Linked DNA regions of Medicago truncatula. The protein of the gene in region 1 binds, or shares a complex with, the protein of each later gene. Links are inferred from orthologs where the notes say so. Each region holds a gene or a part of one and is shown on either strand. Other genes may lie near its edges.

Region 1 (11,874 bases):
AATAGGGTCACCAATATTCTTATGGACATGAACATTCTTGTTCATATTCTCAAAGGATAGTTGAATTTCTATTGCTGCATTTTCATTTCTTCTCCTTCTTCTTCTTTTTGTGGTACTTGAAACCTTTGTTTCATTGTTGTTTGTGATGTTTTGAACTACATAGTTATGTGTTTCTAATGAAGTTTTGCACATGATTGTAGTAACATTGTTGCGTGTTAATAAACAAAATGATCCAAATGATGATGATGAAGCTAGTTTGGATTTTGATGGGATTCTATCACAGAAGAAGCAAGTTGATGATCCAAATGATGGTTAAGTATATAAGCATGGAAAGAAAAAAAAATACAGATCTGAACAAAAAAAATGTAAAAGACAAAAGAAAAAATATGGTGTAGGCAGTCCATGATAAAATTAATACTCATTCTTAATCTAATGGTTGAAAAAACTTTCCCATGGTGGGAAACAACTCTCCATTCCCATGCTAAATGCCACCAATGAATCATTGTTAGAGTTGTCAAATTAGTAAGAAAATGCTTTTCTGATAAAGAATACTTCATATTGACAAGTAAATGACGTTTTAATTTTCAGCGGCAGTTAACTGCCGTTGTGTTCGTGATATATTCAAGTCAGTAGCCATAACTCTGACACTCACTCACTCCATCATCACCTTCACTATCTTTCTCTCAAAATTTCACTCACTCTCTCTAAAAAAACTCTACCAAATCATCCAAAATTTCTTCCACTAAATCACAAGTAAGTTATCACTTATGCTATTGTCATACGTTTTAGTTAGTATATGTGTTTATATGTTTATAATTTTAGTTGTTGTTTAATTATTAAATTTTGAATTTTTGTTTTTAGTATAGTTATGTTGTAGATCTGAAATGCTATTAACATATATTATGAATATCTGTTATAATGAAGTTATATTGCTTGAATTTATATTTTTTTCCGAATTTTATAAATTTTTTAGGGTTTAAATATTTGTTTATAATATAGTTATGTTGTAGTTATGAAATGCTATTAACATATATTATGAATACCTGTTACATTGAAGTTATATTGCTATGGTTTATGTCAAATTTTCACTACAAGTGTTTGAATGAGTTTTTCATTGATTATTTTTAATTTCTTATTGTGTAGATTTGAAGCAATGGTCGGGTGGATCGACGTTCATGCACAATTCAATGGCGGAGAACCTCAGAGGTTGAAGGTTTGATGCCTTGGTATAACGTTAAGAGGTCTCAAGGATGAACTGACTGAATTCAACCAAGGAGTCAACCCCGGAGACACAAGGAGGGTGGAACACGTTTGGTATAAACGTCCAACGCTCGACGAGGGGAGAGTATCATTCACTTCGGTGGAATTAACGAACGACGAAAACGTGACGAGCATGTTTTGGGAGCACAACATGTTCCAGTGGATCAATATGCGGGTAACGTTGCTGAGATCAACTGAAGATATCATCAACAGCTTGATTCCGCCAGAAAATCATCATTAGTTATGGTAAGGTGCATTCCAACTACAACAATTGTCTTGCCTCTGAAATGGGGTAATTCAAACTTGCCAAATGGCCATGACTCAAGCATTTCGCCCAGCTTTCATGTTTTTCCTTTGAAAAGATTAAATTCTTGTTATGCTGGTTTAGATGAAGGTATTAAGTGCCAAGGAATGAACCTCATTTCGTTGGCACTTGAATATCATCATCTAAAGCAAGCCTAACAAAAATTTATTCTTTTCAAAGGAAAAACATGAATGCGGTGCAAAATGCTTGAGTCCTGTTGTTTGGCAAGTTTGAATTTACCCCATTCAAAGGTAAGACAATTGTTGTAGTTGGAATGCACATTCCAACTACAACAATTGTCATACTCTGGATGGGGCAATTCAAACTTGTTAATCGGGAGGACTCCAACATTCGATAAGCCTCTTGAATATTGGTATTGAAGTGTCAAGGAATGCACCTCATTCTTTTGACAGTTAAATACCATCATTCAAGATGCTGATCGGATGTTGGAGTCCTGCTGTTTAGCAAGTTTGAATTTGCCCCATCCAGAGTAAGACAATTGTTGTAGTTGGAAGATACATTCTGGAATGTAATGTAATACAATGTAATGTGATAACATATATAGTTGAATATGCATAATACATTTTGTTTTGAATGGAACAATAATTATCTTATTTATTCACTTTTCGAATTTATTTATTCATTACGCAATTTTAATTAGTTGAATTCACATTAGATTTAATTAGTTTTTATTCGAATACACAATTATTCGAAACGCGACTTTAATCGAAATTATTCCAAATGCGATTTTAATTGAAATTATTCAAAATGCGAATTTATTCAAAGTACCAATATGTCAAGCAAAATGTACCATAAAAAAAGATCCAAATCAATTAGATATTACAACCCATTACATTCAATCATCTTTCTAATCACACAAGTCAATTGGTTTGTCCTCGACAGTCCCTGGGGCACCTGCTTTTGCTTGAGGACCAAAATAGCATGTCCTCCCGCTCCTCCTCAACCTCGAATGATTATACACCAGCACCTTCGAATCATTATTTTTTACGGATCCATCACATGTGATTCCATGCCATGTCATCAGTGATTTTTCTTTCTTCCTGCCGTCACCCTCCTTCTTCTTGTTCACCTCAACGTTTCCCTAATTCTTAGACATATCTACATAAATAAATCGGCGATCAAAACCTACATCATGTCGTAACAATTATACAATAATTGATCATAACCTAAACTAATCCTAAAAATTATACCGTAACTAATCGTAACAATTCTATTACAAATTCAACAACAAAATTTCATAACAAACCTAAACTAATCGCAACGATTATACAACAACAATTCATCTAATCCTAAAAATTCTACCATAATTTCATAACAATTCTAACAATCTAAACAATTTTAACATAAACCTAACAATTCAAACAACCCAAACTATCATAATATCATAAAATCAATAAACCTATATAATCACAATTAACCAAAAAAAACTAACAAATCAATCACAAAATAGCAATGCCATAGGATTCAAAAAATTTACTTGATTTTGTGCTTGAAATTAGCTTGGAATGGCCGATGTTTGCTGAAAAACGCACCTGAGAAATCCAAAAACGTAACAATGGAGTTTTGGAAACTCCTACGCTGTTCTGTTCATATAACAGAAAGCAACGACAGTTAACAACCACTAAATGCCAGCGGCAGTTAACTGTCTGCGCATGGCCTAACGGTTGTTAACTGTCGCCGGAAGCTTTTTGGTAAATTACTTGTGTCAATATGAAGTATTATATGTCAAAAAAGCAATTTTCAATTAGTAAACCTAAGACATGAAAAACGACCCATATTGGATCAGTCCATGGCTTTCATTTAGCCTCAATTTTGGTGGTCCAATCCAACCTAAAACACACCAAGCAGTTGACATGGGTCAAATTCATATTTCTAACAAGTAAACTATTTTTGTTTTGTTAAAAAAACTTTTTTTTAGAGAACATGTAAACAAACTATTGAAATCTTTTCAGAAAACAAATATTAATGCCTAAAAAAGAGTTTTGGTCTAGCCTAAGGTGGTAAAATGGATGACTTTAAATTTGGATGGATAAAAAGGATCCATTAACAATACTATTTAAAAAAAAATATCTAATCTAATTCATCCATTAAACATAAAACCATCAAATTTATCCATTATTATATTTTAAATGGATGTGTATTCATTGGATTCATCTATGAAAGCATATTAAGGAATTGTACCTAAGTTTTCTCCTTAAAAAAATTGCAGAATTTTTTAAAATATTTCCAAAACATTTTATTTAGACGGTTTCTTTTCGCACCCTACCGGTTTCTCGTGCGTCTTAAGAAGTTTGGATTACATACTCAAAAAAGCGCTAGAACACGTTAAAAACACCCTCCAACACTCGGATTTAATAACTGAAAAAGTTTTAGAGGGTGGAAAAAGAAATTCATTTTTTTTTATGTATTCAGCCCAAAAACTTTTTTTTTTTTTTTTCAAAAACAATATATCAGCCCAAAACCAATTTTTTACTAGGCTTATTGCAAAAAAAATAAAATTGAATTATGCTCATTACCCAGATAGTATCGCTCATTCCCAAAGTAAATGTCCAAAATGCTCTTGCGCATGTTAACATGCGCTAGTGTATTTTTTACCTATGTTAAGTCGCATTATGTGACTTAACATGCGCTAGTGTATTTTGTTGTCTAAGTTAAGTCACGTAGTGTGACTTAAGTTGCGCTAGTGTATTCTGAGCGTGAGTTAACTTGCGCCAGTTGGCCGGTGCAGAACCGAAGAACAAAAGTTTTTTGGTCTGTGGTCAGTTTTTCAACATTCTATCCACACGTTTTTAACACTATTTTACACGTTTTTTGACCACATTAATGGTGTTTACAACCTATACTACCATTCCCACCTATAAATACCCCTCCATACTTCCCTAATTTCTCACACCATATCACTTTCTCCCCCCTCCTCACTCTCTCCCTCTATTTCTCTTCTTTCTTTCTTTTTCAGTATTCTCTTTGAGGGCAAAAGTGATCAATCTTCGTCGGGGTAAAATAGTGAGAAGCCGACATGGGGAAGTGATCGACCATTGGGATAAGTTTAAATTTGCTTTTTTTACTCCATAAACTTTTTACCGTGGGTATAAAAAAAACCAGATTTAAATTTAGCCCAAGGGTTGATCATGTATTTTCTCCAAGAAGGTTGCTCCCTATTTTACCCCAAAAGGGAGAAAATAAGTAGAATAAATTAGTGAATTGGAATAAATTATTGTATTGTATGAATTCTATTAATAAAATGAGATATTGTTATATGCCTCAATTTTGTTCATTCCTTTTTATTTTATATTTGCTTTTATTTTCTAATTTTGTATTTAATGAATAAATATTAATTTAGTTCATTTACTTTTATCTATATTTGTATTTATTTAATGAATAATATCGAATCAATATTTATTTTAAGTGCATAAATAATTTAGAATAAAGTAAATAAACTAATTTAGAATAAAATAAATAATGTTTGTTCTTCAGTTCTGCACCGACCAACCGGCGCGAGTTAACTCACGCTCAGAATACACTAGCGCAACTTAAGTCACGCTACGTGACTTAACTTAGGTTAAAAAAATACACTAACGCAACTTAACTCACGCTGCGTGACTTAAGTTGCGTTCCTCTTATAACTAGCGCAACTTAAGTCACGCTACGCATGTTAACATGCGCATGGGCATTTTGGACATTTACTTTGGAAATGAGCAATGCTGTTTAGATAATGAGCAGAATTCAAAAAAATTCTAGGACCAATTAACCAAACCAACTTTATTTTAATATGTATAAAAGGTGGTCGTCGGTGGTGGTCCTTCGACGACCCCTACGACAACAAACAATGGTTTTATGTTGGCCCCGTGAAGGTTAAGAGGCAAACCACCACTTTCCATCAATCAAGTTTGTACCTTTAGTTGCGCCTTGTATTGATCACCCCAAACAAGTGTAATACTAAAAGAAAGTTTACTTCACCAGAATAAAGCAAGGAAGTTAGAATTTACTGTTCGGGAAATCCGACAATGGAGGAAATGACAGAAAATAATTTGTCATATTGAGATGTGAAAGAAGTGTAAAATATCAGCTTCATTGAAATGTGATTGATCGTTTAGGTGGAGAGGTTATTTGTTGTTGGTGTATGGAGCCTTAGAGTGGAGAATGAGAAGACAATCATGAGATTATTCAAATCTCTCAAGATTGTAAATATGTTGACCGTCTAAGACCAAAAGAGAATATGCTTGTTCGTAGGCTGACAACCTAGATGATCCTTCCAAGACATATTCTGACCACTTTTTAGAATAAAAATGGTTGAAGTGCAACTACTATCATGCATATTTATAATTAATGTCACAAGTATAAGTAGTCTATCGGGATATAATTATAGTTGAAGACAAGTCTGTGTATAATTATAGATTAACCGTTGATTCCGATAATGTCAAGTACATTTTATAGGCTCATACGAATTCCATTAAGTTGTTTAATAATTCTTCTATTGTACTTGTGATGAATTATATTTATTAAACCAAATAGTATTGTCTTATGTTGTTTGAGTTTGTCGGTGTCATGTCTACTGAGTTGATATACTATTTCAATTTTCTTATATGATGCATGAGAAGAAAGAAAATGTTATGTATACTCTATAAAGATGACGTAATTTGTTCAAATCTCCGTATCAGCCTTCAAAAATTAAACATATAGTCTACTTATAATTTGTCCAACAACATAATGGTAACATATTAGTCGGGTTCCGTTTTCTTCAACCCGCATTGACCCATCCGAAATCAATCAACATTATCTAATGAATCTATTTTACTCGACTCTCTTAACCGCTTTGTCAAATAAGGCAAACGATTAAATCGGCTTTGGGTCGATTTTCCATATTTTGTCCTACCCTAACTTAGGTGATGGACATACTTTTTTTTTTTTTTTTTTGTAAGTGTCCAAGATTCGAACCTCAAAACTTGCACATATTATGCATCGTCCTTGCCAACTGACACGAGACGGAACTAATTTAATTGAATGATTATGTGACTCTGATTCTTTTATTAATTAGTGATTTTGATCCTTATTTAATGGAATGATTTGTTACCCAAAAAAAACCATTTGAACTCTTTCAAATAGTGTAGAATATTCTCATTTTTCAATTAAAATACATTATACATTCATTACTCGTTGTAATTCAAACGAATTAGAATTGGGAACCCTAGGTTGAACCAGCCTTCATACACTCACTCCTCTCTATTCAGCGACAATGCAAGGAAGCGCCGCCGACGGAGAAGCTTTGGATTTCGAGCCAGAGGAAGATGACTTGATGGACGAAGAAGGTGCTGTTGACGCCGAAGCTTCTCCTCCACATCCCAAACTCAAATCCGCCATCACCTCCGTTCCCAAAAAAACCAAAGGTCGCGGTTTCCGTCAGGATTCTGATTCCTCCAACCGTAACTCTCGTCTTGCTGATTCCGGTTTCGATACTCTCACTGCTGAGGGTGGTCCTGGTCCTCAACGATGTTCGTGTTCCCAATTGTTCAATTTTTTCAATTTAATTGCGTGATTTTGATTTTTAGGGTTTTTATGCTTAATAATGTTGCTGTTTTTGTAGCTATTGAAGGATGGATTATTTTGGTGACTGGTGTACATGAGGAAGCTCAAGATGATGATTTGCAGAATGCTTTTGGTGAATATGGTGATATTAAGAATCTTCACTTGAATCTTGATCGCCGTACTGGTTTTGTTAAGGTGTGTCATTGATGATTTTTTCGCTGTTCACTTCACTGTATTGTTCTTGTGCATTGTTTACTTATTCATACAAATTGACTAGTTTTATGGATACCTTTTTGTTACTAATTGATGATAGAAAGTGTTTTGAAGTAGGAGATGAATATGGTGGGGTAATGTTGTTAATCTAAGGGTATGTTTCTATGGAGGGTTTTGGAGGGGAGACTTTACTTTTCTCTATTAAATTATGTTTACTATAAGATGTTTTTAAAATCAATTAGGTTTGATTGAAGTATTATATGATCCTTTATCATGTTCTTTGAATTTTTTTTAAATAACAAATATATTTTAACATATTGTCTTAGCCCTCCAAAAACCTCTCCCAAACAAGCCCTAAGGCTTTGTTTGGGAGTTTGGAGGGGGGAAGGAGAGGGCTTTGGGGGTGGAAAACACAGGGGAAAATAGAGAAAATCTTTCACGTTTTTAAAAGAGTTTTCTTTTTAGAGAATGATAAACTAATGTTTTATAATTAATACACTTGTAATTTTAAGAATATTATAACTACATACATTGAATTTGAAGAATTCGTATAAACTTTCCAAATCCCTTCAAAACCCTCCTCCATTGCAATTTTGAGTTCCCCTAAATCAGGAGGGTTTTGTATTACGAAGAAAAATTAACCCCCAAGGCCTTCCCTTCTCAAATTCCTTTATTTGCTTTTTTTTTTCCCCTTTCCAAATGGAAGGAAGGGAGAGGCTTTGGGAAAAATGGAAGGAGCAAGTGGATGAAATAGAAGACATTGGGAGGGGGAGGGGGAGGCTTTTGGGGGGTTCATGTTTCTTCATAATACAAAATCCCCCTCATTTGGGGAAACTCAAAAATTGCATTAAATCTATGTTGTTATAATATTCTTAAAATTAAAAACATATTAGTTTATCATTTTCTAAAAAATTACTCTTCCAAAAAATGTGAAAGATCTCCATTTTTCCATATATTTCTCAAACTCTCAAAGTGATCCATTAATGGCAATATTTAATCTTTATGATTCTCCTTTTTTATTGTTAACCTTCTGGTTTCCCGAGGAAAGGTGCCTTGATAATCCGGAGCATGGTTATCAAATTTTGAATCAGAAGATCTATTTTCGGAATTGAATCTTTATATGAACTGTAATATATACTGTCCATAAAAATATGACATTTTTAAGTAAGATAAGTGACATAGCAAAATTATAAGCTAATATATGAACCTTCAAATAATTCAAGTCATGAATCAAATGGCAAGCGGGGCTATACATTGTTGAGTGAAAAAAGTGGCCAGCATCACTAATTTTGATACGGAACCATTAGAATGAAATGAAAATCGTTTTAGTGAATTGGGATTCAAGATGGGATTCGTCCCACATAGATATAATGATACACACTAACTGAAGTTATCGATTGGTTCTGTTTTGTATCAAATTGAGAAATAGCTCATTTATTTTGTGATACCGGTAACCATGTTGCGGAGTTTGGTTGAGAGTTAAGTAAAGTGAGGCCGGAGATTGTTGCAGCATGGGATAACTTGGGTCCTCCCATTCCAGCATGGGATCGAACTTGGGTACTCCTGATTGATGCAACCTTAACTGAAGTTATCATCTCATATCTTTTCACCGTTAGTTGGACTCAACTTTCATTTCATGTCTCAGTCATGGCATGAATTCTGCTTTGCTGCACACATTTTGTTATTGACCTCAAGCTGTTACTTTGGGGTTCAGATGGTTGTTGATTTGTTTCTCATGTATATAAATTTTATAAAATGGCCTCACTGCACTCCCTGCAGTATTTTTTTATTTTTTTTTAAATTGATGTTGCTCTATCAGTATAAATCAATGCCGTATTGATTTTTAAAGGATGTAGTGGAAGAAACATATAATCCTTCCTAACAAGTAACTTTGTGTAGGTTATTGCCGTTTCTTTTGTGTTTTATATTTTTATGATGATGCTTTTACTCTTGTTTGCCACTTTCGCTGCTTTGATCTCAACTTATCTTATTTTATTAAGAAAAGCTAAGACTTTTTTTAGACTACTTGTAATTTTGTAAACAGGGTTGATCCTTGTTCAAGAAAATTTTCTGCCATCTGTTTCTATGTTCATACATCATTGATTGATGATTAATATCAGTTTCAGAAACTGGAGATTAGTTCTCCTTTTCCTGGCAACTTCTGCTCATTTCTGCATGTGCCATTTTATCATGTGAAGATTTTGGTTTCTATACTGATAAGCATTTTGAATTTAGGGTTATGCACTGATTGAATATGAGCGCTCCGAGGAAGCTCGGAATGCAATAGAGAATTTGAATGGATCTGTGCTTCTCACACAAACCATTTATGTTGATTGGGCTTTCAGCAGTGGACCTATTAACGAGACAGTTAGAAGAAACAGGTAATTTATTTTTGTTTTATATTTGTCTGCAGAGTAGTATGTTATTTCACAACATTAATCTTGAAGAAAGTTCCATAAAGTTTTTGGTTTGAGTTTTACATCATTTATTTGAGTTGGTATTTCCAATTACAGCAACTACCGAGTCTTATTCCACAAAGTGGGGTTGGCTACATGGATCAAACCACATTATGATTTGTTATCACAGTTCCATGTTTATAGTCAAGTCATTGGCCTCTAAATATTTTTTTAATTTTTGCCAATAGTTTTTGTTGGCCTTCCTTTGCCTTTCGCAATTTGGTTGCCTTTTATCTCATCCACTTTTCTTAATATGGAATTTACATGTCTCCTCCACACTTGTCCGAACTACCTAACTCGAGATTTCATCATCTTTTCTACAATAGGCTCTATCCAACTCTATCTAATGCTATCATCTCTAATCCTACCCTTTCTAGTCTTTCCACATGTCCAACACTCAATTCTCATCACATCTTCACTTAGTTTATGTTTGTGTTGGTTTTCTTCGTCGTTTTCTATGTTGGTCACAAGATATTCAACTACATAACTTGTGTGGTATCCAACTGTAAAATTTATTTTTGCCAACACATACTCCACTCTTGAAAGTTTGTAAAACATATCCTACTTCATTAGAAATTAAAATGCATTATATATATATATATATATATATATATATATATATATATATATATATATATATATATAATTCTCTTCTTTGCAGATGGATTGAAAAATGAAGATATGGTGCATTGTCCTAGACTATCGTTAAATAATTTGCATTCCATTTTTCAACCCCGTTTCGTTGTATGTTTGGATTCACAATGAGTTTGTTAGAATCACAATGTCACCGTGATTTCGACAAACTCACAATGATACCAATCTACCAAACATGCAGTTGTGTTTAAGCAAATGCTAAATGCTATTTACTAACCTTCTTCCCCTTATAATTTTTTCATAGTTTAGCATTTGAGTGTTTGGAACTTTGACATTTTGCAGACCTCAGCGGCGCTCCAGGAGTCCTCCTAGGAGGAGATATTGAAAGGGTCTTTGTTAATTATACATGATGTCAGTTGTGTGGAACTTAAATGAGCGGTGTGATTTGTGTTTGTCCAATTGTGGATGCTTTTTCCTATACTTATGCAGCTTCCGTCAGACAAAATACATATCGGTTGTTGAGGAATCTTATCTTACATCATTTGTTGAATGTTATTAACTCAAGTTTATTATGGTTTAGTGTTTTAACATATCTGTATTGCACTGTAGTAACGTGTTTGGTTTAGTTTTTCTTTATTATGTAATGACATTGTGTTGAAGAAGATAGTATCTCTTTTGGATTGCGTCTTGTATGTGATGGGCGTGAATGAGTGAACAACACTAGCGTGTTTCTTTTTCTCTCAATAGAGGCATTTTATTCCTCCCATCTTTTTCTTTGCCACCATGTATTGTGTTGTATTTACATAGTAAAGTTACTTCTCCATGCATTTACGTGACATAGATTTCGTGTCAAGGGGGGTCATATTTGTAGTAATGACCTAAGGTAGGTACTGCCTTTGAAGAGGTTTGTTGTCGTCTGCTCTATTACCAAGCTTGTAAAGCCTAAATCTAAGGGTGGTAGAACGAGTATGCTTTAATGGGTTAATCTGTTCGACCATTCAATTCTAGAGAGTTCGATTGACACACTCAATCTATTAACCGATTTGAGTGGTTTGGCTTAATTTGAGCATGTTTAGAATTAGAAAGTTTACTTTATGCTAGATCTCTCGTAAAGGTTTGCTCAACCATAAAAGAAAAGTGAAGTTTGGTTCAAAATCTTAGCAAACTGTAGGATTAAAGATGACGTGCATTGGGACGATTCCATTTCAGTTTTCAACACCCTGATTCCCTGAACAATGAATTGTTTTTTTTTTTCCTTGTTCAGCCTCGTGACAAGAGCAAATGATGCCACAGTTTTTTGTCATAAAGGTTTAAAGTTTCAACTGATTTTGTAATTTATTTTAGGAGTAACTTACACTCTCCCGAGAGATGTTTAAATTACTCTACCTTTTTCTCGTACGTTAAGAAATATATTTCTCTCGTACGCTAAGAAATATTATTTACGAGAAATGATATTTGAACAACCATTTTTAAACACTTTTGTGACAACTTTCTCTCTCATAC
Region 2 (10,682 bases), on another chromosome or scaffold:
TCCTTCTCCATTGGAGGGTCTTAACTATTTAAGGTCTGGTATTTATTAGAAGAAATTTTTTTCTAAGGTCTTATAAGACCCGAGTTCCTACTTAAGACCTCCATTTTTAAGCGGAATTCGCACACTTTTAATATTAAAAAATTGAAATATAATGATATAAAGTTATTGATAGTTGATATAGAGTGATTGAGTGTTTATTATGTACTATTATTAAAAAATTATAAATGAGTATTGTTTACATGCGAGATGCATTTAAGAACTCAAAAATGGATATCTCAATTGTGGATGCTATAAGTAGCTCATAAGTATACAATGACATGTTTCTCTATATACTTTTTTAAAATTTTATATATATATAAACATTTTTTTGCTGATGTATTTATTTTTATTAATATTTTAATTTATGGTTTTTTTTTAGGGAATTTTAGTTTATGGTTAAATATATATTTGATTCTTATAAATATTTTAACTTTTGATTTTAATCCCCCGTAAACTTTTTTCCACTTTTAATCCTCAAAAAAGTTCCCACCCCTGCTTTTATGGATCCTAACATTAAGAGCAAGGTGGTCAAAAAATGTGACTAAGAATATATAAAATGTTACAATTTTTCTTTTAAGTAATAAAATGTTAGAACTTAGAATAGGCTAGTTATAACTTATAACAAAATATAAAGCATTTTTATATATATATATTAGTTTGTTAACTTAAACCAACAAAAGCAAGCGTACACATATTTATTTAGACAAAAATATATATCTACTATTATTATAAATCATTATTTTATAAATTGGTGCAACTTAACAAATATTTTATAATAAAAATTACTAAAGTAACCTTCAAATTATTTGTGTTAAATAATAAAAATGAATGGTATTTTTGTCTAAATGAAGATGTGCACACTTGCTAATTGACTGGTGCTAGTCACACCCCAAAAAAACAAGTTACACCTCAGAATGACTAATATACCTTTTAACTAAAATAAAAATTTCAAATTAACTAAATTTACATTAATGTAAATTGAACATAAGTAAACTTAATTTACATTAACCTAAATTGAACATAAGTAAACTTAATTTACATTATCCTAAATTGAACGTAAGTAAACTTAATTTACATTAACCTAGATTTAACATAAGTAACCTGAATTTACATTAACATAGATTGAACATAAGTAAACTGAATTTACATTAACCTAGATTGAACGTAAGTAAACTGAATTTACACTAACCTAAATTGAACATACGTAAACTTGAATTTACATTAACCCCTAACCCCTTTTATATACATACACGTAAACTTAATTTACACTAACCTCTCACTTAAAATCAAATTGACAGGCATATCTCATACCAAAACAAACAATAAACAAATAGAAACTCATTGAAAATGAAATTCATGAAATTCACTAACCTTTATGAATATAGTACAGATCAATAACAAAGATGTTGATTCAGATATTGGTTGCACATCTATGGTGATTTGTGGATGAAAGGGGGTAAGAGTTCATAATGATCATAAAAGATGAGTTTTTAAAAATTTACATGAAGAGGGCAATTTTGATATTATTGTAAAATTTTAAATAAATTTGGATGTAACTTGTTTTTTTTGGGGTGTGACTAGCACCAATCTTACTAATTTGGACCTTCATATTTTTTGTTGATCTAAGTTTGCAAACCCCATTATATATATATATATATATAAAGTGTTCCTTAAAAATATGCAGCGTGGCAGTTTTCTTATTTAAGGGAAAAAAATGTGACAGTTATTAAATATGAACATGGTAATTGTTTTATTAAAAAAAATAAAAATTAATATGGTTAAAATTGGAAGAAAATATAAAAATGTATAAGCTATAAACTAAAAAATTGTTTGAAATAGCATATCAAAAAACGCTACAAGGTAATGCAAGAAATTTTTTGTGTTACCAATATGAGGTTTGAACCCCATCCATCCAGATATGAGGTGAATTATGTACGATAAAATATTATTATTATTAAATTTAAAGTATAATAGTGAATTATTTATGGTCAAAGGAAAGGAACGATGCGTTCTCTTTCTGCTGGGTTGTATCTATCTCTCTAAGAAAGGAAGAAGAGACTGAGAGTCAGAGGGATGATGCTAGAAAACCCTCAAGCTCAGCCACCGGAATCTGGTCCTGTGGTGGTGAAGCGCTATGCTCCACCCAATCAAAGGAACCGTTCTATCAATAATAGGCGCAAATCTTCATCTGGTTAGTTAACTTATTCTTTACTAGGTAGTTGTAGCAGTAGCATCACATCAAGCAATGTCAAACATATTTTATCTATTAAGTTGAGCTACTTACTACTGTAAATACTATTCCCTTATTTGCTTTTTAGTTCAATCAATGTATCATCCTAAATAATGGAACGGATCTGGGACTGTGAATCACGAATGTTCTTTTTAGAATAGCGAGGCACATAATATTGTTACCTATGCACAGAGTTCTATCAGTTTATGTAACTTGAAGAAAAGGTGTTATTGAACTATTAGTTTGTATTGTTGGAAGATAAGAAAGTTGCTTATATATAGGATTCATTTCTGTAACATTGAATCAGTGGGTGTCCTTCTGGCATGGTCTGATGGGAGATAAATTAAAAGAAATTTCTTATGAAGATAATTGTTTAATACAATTAGCCATCAGATCTATGTAAAAGTTCTTGAAGTCGCAAATTAAGTCTTGTAGCTCTTGATGCAAGTGGATTTCTTCCTCCTTTTTTTTTTTTTTTTTTTTTTTTTTTTTTTTTTTTTTGTAATTTATGTGTTATTTCTCATTTGCATAATTGACAGTGATCAATGGTAAAGCTTTTGGCCCATTTGCTGTCAGTTCCTGCTCTATTTTGTTTGTTTCTAATTTGTACATGTCGTTTGCTTTCTATCAAATTATGTAGATCGGCTTGATCGATCAAACAGTGTTGGCAGTGATATAGAAAAGAATCAAGTTGCTTCTTCAAAAAACATTCAAGTTACAGATCACGGACATGCTAGCAGCAGTAATATTTTTAATGAGAACCATTATTCAAGATTCATTGCTTTACAAGGTTGTAGTAGCAGTGCAGCTTCCCAGCTTCTTAGTGATCGTGAGTCTTCCCTGCCTTTTGTTTGTGAGAACTTGTATATGTTGGCTTATTAAATTAAATTGAATATTCTTTTGCCCTGATGATTTCTGTAGTTCTTTAGGTTTTCTCATTAGAACAGACTCTAATAAGTATCTGATCAATGAAAAATACCTTCAATTAGTTTGCATAGGATTGAGATATGCAGATTTTAGGACTTCGGAATATATTGATCATGATTGTTTGTTATGGCTTGTCTGTGGAAAAGGAATGCCCAAGGCCAGCTTTTAGTTTTATTTAACATGATATGTGCTCCTTCATTTTCTATAAATTCCCAAAGTACTTGTTTGTGTCGTGTTGAGCAAGATTCCTTGAGAGATGATAGCTAATTCTCAAGTCCAAAAAGAAATATCAACATTATTGTGAATTATTTTGTTTATAAATTGTAATAGACATATGTCTTGCTTTTACATGTTTGCATACCTTTTGTTTCATTAATTGTTCCTGTCTTCTCGTATTTTAACTGCTTATTGCATTATAGTGAGGAGGGGGGGACTTGTTCGTTTTCTCTTATCTGCTTGTTATGTCAAATTGTCGATACCATTGATTAACATTACCTGTTGCCCATGGACTTCTGTTTCCAGGTTGGACAGCTGTAATACAGTCCTACAACAATCCCAAAGATTCATCTGGTTAGTGGACAATCATTAGAATGACTACCTTTTCCATGCTATGAAATTTGTCACTGTGTCTAATATTTAGTGTTGATGGAACTTTGATTTGTTTTGCTTGTTTCAAAAGTTTTCAATCCATTGAGTTGAGGTCACCAGTAAAACTATGAAATGATTCAAGCTAACCACTGTTGCAGTAACTAACCTTTTGTTTTTTGTGTGTTTGGCTGCCAGTTCTTTCTTTAATTGACTAATTACTATAAGCTTGGTAACTTGATATGTTCAAAAGTGATATATCACGTGATTGCGATACTTAGGACTTACGGGAGTTTGGTGACTACTATACCAACTAAAATATGTTGTTCCTTATACAGTTCATTAGTGTTTGAGAATTCATCTCAATCAAATGCAGTATCAGTAATTTAGCATTTTATATGTGATTTACAATTACATTTAGTCCAACGTGTTTTGATGTAGTTCAAGCTGAGAGGACTTATTACTAAGTGACGAATATCATATAATTACTCTTTAATCATCTTTGTGGTGTTGACTCTTTATAGTTTCTAAATTGCTGTTGGGATGTCAAGTTTAACCATTTTTGACATTTGTGAGCGTATATTATTTATACGGAACATTGATATCATGAATAGCCACCTTCTTAAATGCGGTGATAGTAGATTATGTGTTGCATATACTCTTAGGCATGTGCACGATTTATGCTTAATAATTTTCTTTACCTACCTCTTTCGAATTTCAGAAAAACCAGTTATGTATTCTGGTGGGACCTCAGTTTGGACTCAGTTCAGACTCCCTCATCAGGCAAGCTTTATTTATTAATCTTCTCATAAAACAAAAAGTAAAAAAAACTTTATATCAATTCTCCTTCCCCTCCCTTCTGCCTTCTAAATCTAACGTGATCTTTTTAATATCTATTTTCCCTCAGATTATGTCACCAGCTGCGAGTGCGTCCTCTTCTGTGTCACAGCTTGACTTTCTGGGAGAACTTCGTCGCCAAATGCACAGTGCCAATCCTAGTTTCAGCACATGATGGATGGCATGGATTTAAGGTCTTTTTTGTTTGTGATTTTATAATCAAGTTCTTGTCACAGCTGAATGCTGTAAGAACCCTTTACTTGACTACCCATTTGTGATTTTGTAACTTCGGCACGTCAACTCACTACGTATATACAAGACAGAATCAGAATATGTGTGACGCCTGTGTAGGTGTAAATTGCAATATCTTACATTAGGACTTATATTTAAGGATTTATTACGCTATATGCTTACTGAATACTAGTACCAGTTTTGATAATTTAAATGCATGGTGACATTTTTGTTGTAAAAAAACGAAGAAACTGAAGAATTATGATAGAACCTACATGAACCAACTATTTTGTCCTTATTTTCAGCCTTTTTCTTTTTAGATAATTGATTGCCTTAGCTTAATTTTTTTTACTCAAACCAAGTTAACCAATTTCATTATGCAAAGAGTGTAGGATATAATTAGGAGGATAATGAAAATCACTGCGAGGAGCATACTAGGTGCCCTTACAATAGAACCATATTCTTATCTTATGATTTTACTACGAGACACATCAACAACAAGCTGCTTACAATCAAGTTCAAAAATGATATTTTGAAGACCATAAACTATGATCCAATGGAGGGCATTAAGCAAACCACAAGCTTCACATTTCCACTATTTGGAGATTCATACGCCACCAATCCATCCTTGCCATAACAAACTGACCTTGATCATCTTTCACACACATTCCAATACCTGGACATTGTTGTTGTTGAAAAGGGGCACCATCGATATTGCATTTTAATACAACATGTTGCCAAGAGTTGAGGAAATCTCGAGCACGAAAAAATACATTCTCCTAGGGCTCATTTTTGTTGTCTGGAAGCTTTACATTTTGGTTTTGTCAAATACTCCATGAAATCATGGTAACCCTGGAGATTTGAGACTCATTAAATCGGTGCAGTACATACAAAACAGGGTTAGTAAAGTCCTCAACCGTATGCATAGCATAAGTGGTTGTACCATCAACCATAAACCGGTTTTTTGCTAATACTGGATGCTATCTTCATATTCTAGAAACAAATGCCAGAGACTCCAAATCGTGATCGCATCATATATAAGTTGAAGGGTATTGCACACCATTGTTCATCTTGTGTTGAGTGGGGAGAATATTGTTCCCAAGTTTCCACATAAATGTTTTGATCTTAGGAAGGATAGGTAAATCCCAACGCTTAAGCCAATCTCCGGGTATTTTGAGCTCGTCATTATTCATCAACCTTTCATCTCAAACGTTGCAAGCACTTTTAATAATATATTTGCATCTATTATCAAATCTCCAAATAATCTCATCTACGCGATTGAGCCTTGATACAGGAATTTTTAGAATCTTTTCAACATCATGGGATTGAATAGATTCTTAGTAATAGTGTCTTGATGCCATGTACCTGTATCACAATCAATCAACTAACTCACTGCATGATTATGAGAAATGAGAGGACCATGTCTAATTTCTTGGTTGATCAACGTAATGAAGCCAAGAATCAATCAAATAATTAATGGAGGACCCATCAATTTTCCAACAATGTCCTTCATTTAGCACCGTTCAAGAAGTCCCAGATGCTAACATCAACAATATTTGGACAGCTAGTCATAGTCTCTTAATAAGAGAGAATAGAAAAAAGGAAAAAGAATAGAAAAAAAGAAGAGGAAAGAAAAAAAAATGAGAGAGCAAGGAAAACAGAAAGACACATTAGTATAATATTTTTCTTTCAAATTTTATTATTATTTTATTAATTATTTAACTTATAATTTTTTTACTAATTGCCTAAATTTTGTAACTTATGTTTCTTTAACAAGTTACCAAGGTATCTGAAAGAGAAGCCTTTTTTTGAGGTATTTGGAAGAGAAATTTGAGTAACATTTTTACAGATAATCTGACTATATCTTAATTTGGAAAGTTATATTGCTTAGTTCTAGCCAGCTTATAACACAAAATTGTTTTACTAATCATGCAAACCAGTGCCAAACAAATTTATATAGTGAATGATGTTTAAGAGAAATTAATAAAAATAAATTGTGATTTAAAATGGTATTTAGATTAGTTTGGGAATGTATTTTTTAAGTAAGAAACAAAGAATATATGAAAATGATAATGAAAATAAAAAATTTGTGGAAGAGTGTGGGCTACAAAAGAAGCGGGCCTGGTGGAAAAGGCCCAACTCGAAGAAGAAGAAGAAGAAGAAGAACACTCGAACTCGCACTTATATTCTTCAACTCTGCTGGTTGCTGGTTGAAAATCAATCGGCGGTTATTGTTGATAATCAACATCATCAGGATGGGAAGCGAAGAAGAGAATGCAGAGTTCTACTTGAGATACTACGTTGGTCATAAGGGTAAATTCGGACATGAATTTTTGGAGTTTGAGTTCCGTCCAGATGGTAAGCTTCGTTATGCTAACAATTCCAATTACAAAAACGATACAATCATTCGTAAGGAGGTTTATCTTACTCCTGCTGTTCTTCGTGAGTGTCGTCGTATCATTTCTGACAGCGAGGTATTCTTTTCTATTCTTTTTACTAACCCTAACCCTAATTTCACCCCCTTTTCCTTTTCCTTTTCCCTTTTATTGCTTATAACAACTCTATTCAACAGATTATGAAGGAAGATGATAACAACTGGCCAGAACCAGACCGTGTTGGTCGTCAGGAACTTGAGATTGTGATGGGGAATGAGCATATCTCCTTTACTACTTCCAAGATTGGTTCTCTTGTTGATGTTCAAAGCAGTGCTGATCCTGAAGGCCTTCGCATCTTTTACTATCTTGTTCAGGTCAGTCAGATTCATTCTATTTACTCACTCATTGTTGTTACAAGGATCATTTCACCTACAATTTCAGATTCTTCCCTTCAAATTTAAGCATACCAATACTGCTCAAACACTATGCACAAATAATTGCCTTCATGAACACAACTCAAATTAAACTGACCTGGCAACTCTCAGATATCTTATACCTCATACAATGGGATTTCAATTGTTTCATTGTTTTCATTGTTTTAACCTATACTTCAGAATTCCTTTGCTGTGATTTTTTCACTTTATTTGTGCAATGTTTTAGAGACTGATTTATGTATTTCCCCATGATGTGTTATCATTGTATTTTTTAGCCTTTTTTTATCACGGTTCCTTTGCTGTGATTTTTTCCTCTTTATTGCCCCATGATTTTTTTACTGTATTTCTGCATTGTTTTAGAGAGTGATTTATATAGTTGTGCCTGTCCATTAGTCACCCAATACCAGATTTGTTTGATGTCAGCTTATGCCTTTCGTTCATTCCTGCTAATTATAATTATCTTTGCAGGATTTGAAGTGCTTTGTCTTCTCTCTTATTTCACTTCACTTCAAGATCAAGCCTATATAAGATGTTCCCAATTATTTTTCGAGTTTGTCTTCTTGGAAATGTGCACTCTTTGAACAACTTTCCTTTTTAGCTAATGAAGTTTGAAACATGTATCGGTGATGAACAGAAAAACCTGATTTGAATGGATAACCTTTGTACCAGATCTTTGCTTTTTATATTTATGGTTTTGGATATTCTTTCTCTTTCTCTTTCACTTGCTTCCATTGTTTGAGCATGCTGTCTGTATGGAATGTGCACATACCGAATTTAAGATTTCTTTGACTACTGGTTATGTTCTCAGAAAGTAGTGTTGTATGATATTTTTTTTATTTCACAGTTTCTACTCCCTAATATTAACCTGGTTCCAGCACATGATTGATGACATGGATTTTATAATCAAGCTGTTGTCTGGTTATGTTTTTAAAATCAAGTTCTTGTCACGATTGAATGCTTTAAGAACACTTAACTACCTACTTGTGAAATGTTTAGCTGCGTATAGTATATACAACACAGAATCAGAATATGTGCGATGCCTGTGTAGGTGTAAATTGGGATGTCTTACATCTAGGACTCATGTTTTAAGGATTTATTATTATACTCCGTATGCCGCTTGCCGTGTACTAGTTTTCATAATTTAAAGGCATTGTGGATTTTTATCTGTTTTATAATTTGGAAACTATAAAATTATGATGCAACTCACATGAACAACCTATTTTGTGCTTATTCTCAGTCTGGTTTTCTTCTAATTTTTACGTAAATGATTAACTGCCTTTATTTTTAGTTTTTTAAACTAGTAAGATGGTTTTTTAGAAAATAAGTGGCAAAATCTGGTTATGTTTTGTTTCTCGCTGTTGCATGTCAGCTTAGCATGCGTTTGGAATCACGATGGATATGTCAAAAGCTACAAACATACACTTCTATGTGTATTCTTGCCGCATCATTTTCTCTTTCCTAAATGGTTCCCCCAAAAATTAAAGACACATTTCAAAGGAGGTGTGTGTTCACATGGGAAAGGTTAATCCTTTCCCACCATGGGAAAATTGGATTTAATGATTAGATTAAGTGAAGAACATATTCTTAACATGCTCTCTCAACACTAGATTTTTCTTCACACTATCTTCCAATAATTTAAAAATTCTGAAAATTAATTTTTAGAAATTAAAAAAATCGAAAAAATATAAAAAAATTAAGATAATTTTTTTTTAAATTCTGTAATTCATTTGTTGAATGTTAGAATTTTTTTTTGAAAAATAAAATTTTGGAAACTAAGATAAGTTTTTATTTTTCTAAAAAGAATATTTTTTTAATTTCATAATAAAATAAGATATTCTGAAAAATAAAATAAAAATCCTAAAAAAAATATTTTGAAATTAAAGTTTTTTATTTTTCTAAGAAAATAAAATTCTGGAAAATTTAGAACAATTTTTTTTTTCATTTTTAAAAAAAAAAAATTAACATTCAATAAATGAATTGTAGAATTTTTAAAAAAAATTATCTGTATTTTTTTAATTTCTGAAAATTAATTTTCAGAATTTTTAAATTGTTGGAAGAAAAATCTAGTGTCGAGGGAGCATGTTAAGAATATGTTCTTCACTTAATCTAATCATTAAATCCAACTTTCCCATGGTGGGAAAGGATTAAACTTCCCATGTGAAATGCCACCTTCAAAGGATAGTGTGAGTGACCTAATAATCATTTATCGAAAAACCAATTGTCGGGATCATAATAATTTTAGAAGAGTGTTATTTGAATAACCATTTGGTTGACAACTTATGAGACAACTGTAATTTACAAAGAAAAAGTTGGTATTTGCAGGTATTCTAAAGTAATGAGTAACTTTTTCTGTGACAACTTCTATATATATATTTTTTATATACAAGTATATTACTGTAATTGTTTGAGATGTACCAAAATCAATAAATATTATTAATGATAATTTATGGTTTTTGTCAAAAATAAAATAAAATAACAGGTTTGAGGTTTCCTCGGCAGTTTTCTCGGTAATTAACTGCAGCCGGTTCCATAATTCGGCAGTTAACTGTCAATGGACATTTGAATAAATTACTCGTGTTTCTCAACCAATGCATATATGTCAACAACAATTCTCTTAACATTTAGCATGGAAAGCATAAATTTTCCTACCATGGATTAGTTGAGTTTTAGCTATTTGATCCTAGGAAAAACAAAACCAAAAAAAAAAAACAAAACACCAGGAAAGTGAATTCTCTCATTAAGCATGTCATTTGCTCGTAGGAGATAAGAGTAATGCTAACAACACTCTTTTTTAAACATTCTCTCTAATACTCACATAAAGTGGTGGAGTATACATTGATTTTATCCAATAATAGAATAAGTGTTAAAGAGAGTGTTTAAAAGTGAGTGTTGTTAGCATTTTCTCCTTTAGATAATATGCTCAAATGGTTGGTATCATTGTGAATTTTTCGTAATAATTTAATAAAGAAAAATACATACATATAATACATTTAATAATTTTTTAAGATGTGTGTTAAATAATGT

Evidence for each region.
Region 2: RNA-binding protein Y14A (region 1) and protein mago nashi homolog share a complex: the UniProt entries of both Arabidopsis thaliana proteins name them as parts of the mRNA splicing-dependent exon junction complex. The link is inferred for Medicago truncatula from reciprocal best matches to the Arabidopsis thaliana genes Y14 and MAGO.

What each region holds. Positions count from the first base shown.
Region 1 is NC_053046.1:1,983,838-1,995,711, forward strand, and holds RNA-binding protein Y14A, read left to right. Parts: upstream 1-6,719; 5' UTR 6,720-6,818; coding exon 6,819-7,074; intron 7,075-7,166; coding exon 7,167-7,303; intron 7,304-9,556; coding exon 9,557-9,702; intron 9,703-10,713; coding exon 10,714-10,756; 3' UTR 10,757-11,137; downstream 11,138-11,874. UniProt on the Arabidopsis thaliana protein: Core component of the splicing-dependent multiprotein exon junction complex (EJC) deposited at splice junctions on mRNAs.
Region 2 is NC_053044.1:58,689,327-58,700,008, forward strand, and holds protein mago nashi homolog, read left to right. Parts: upstream 1-6,943; 5' UTR 6,944-7,104; coding exon 7,105-7,323; intron 7,324-7,421; coding exon 7,422-7,598; intron 7,599-8,126; coding exon 8,127-8,186; 3' UTR 8,187-8,450; downstream 8,451-10,682. Other genes in the region: uncharacterized protein, read left to right, coding at 2,113-2,230, 2,910-3,098, 3,719-3,766, 4,503-4,564, 4,689-4,793. UniProt on the Arabidopsis thaliana protein: Core component of the splicing-dependent multiprotein exon junction complex (EJC) deposited at splice junctions on mRNAs.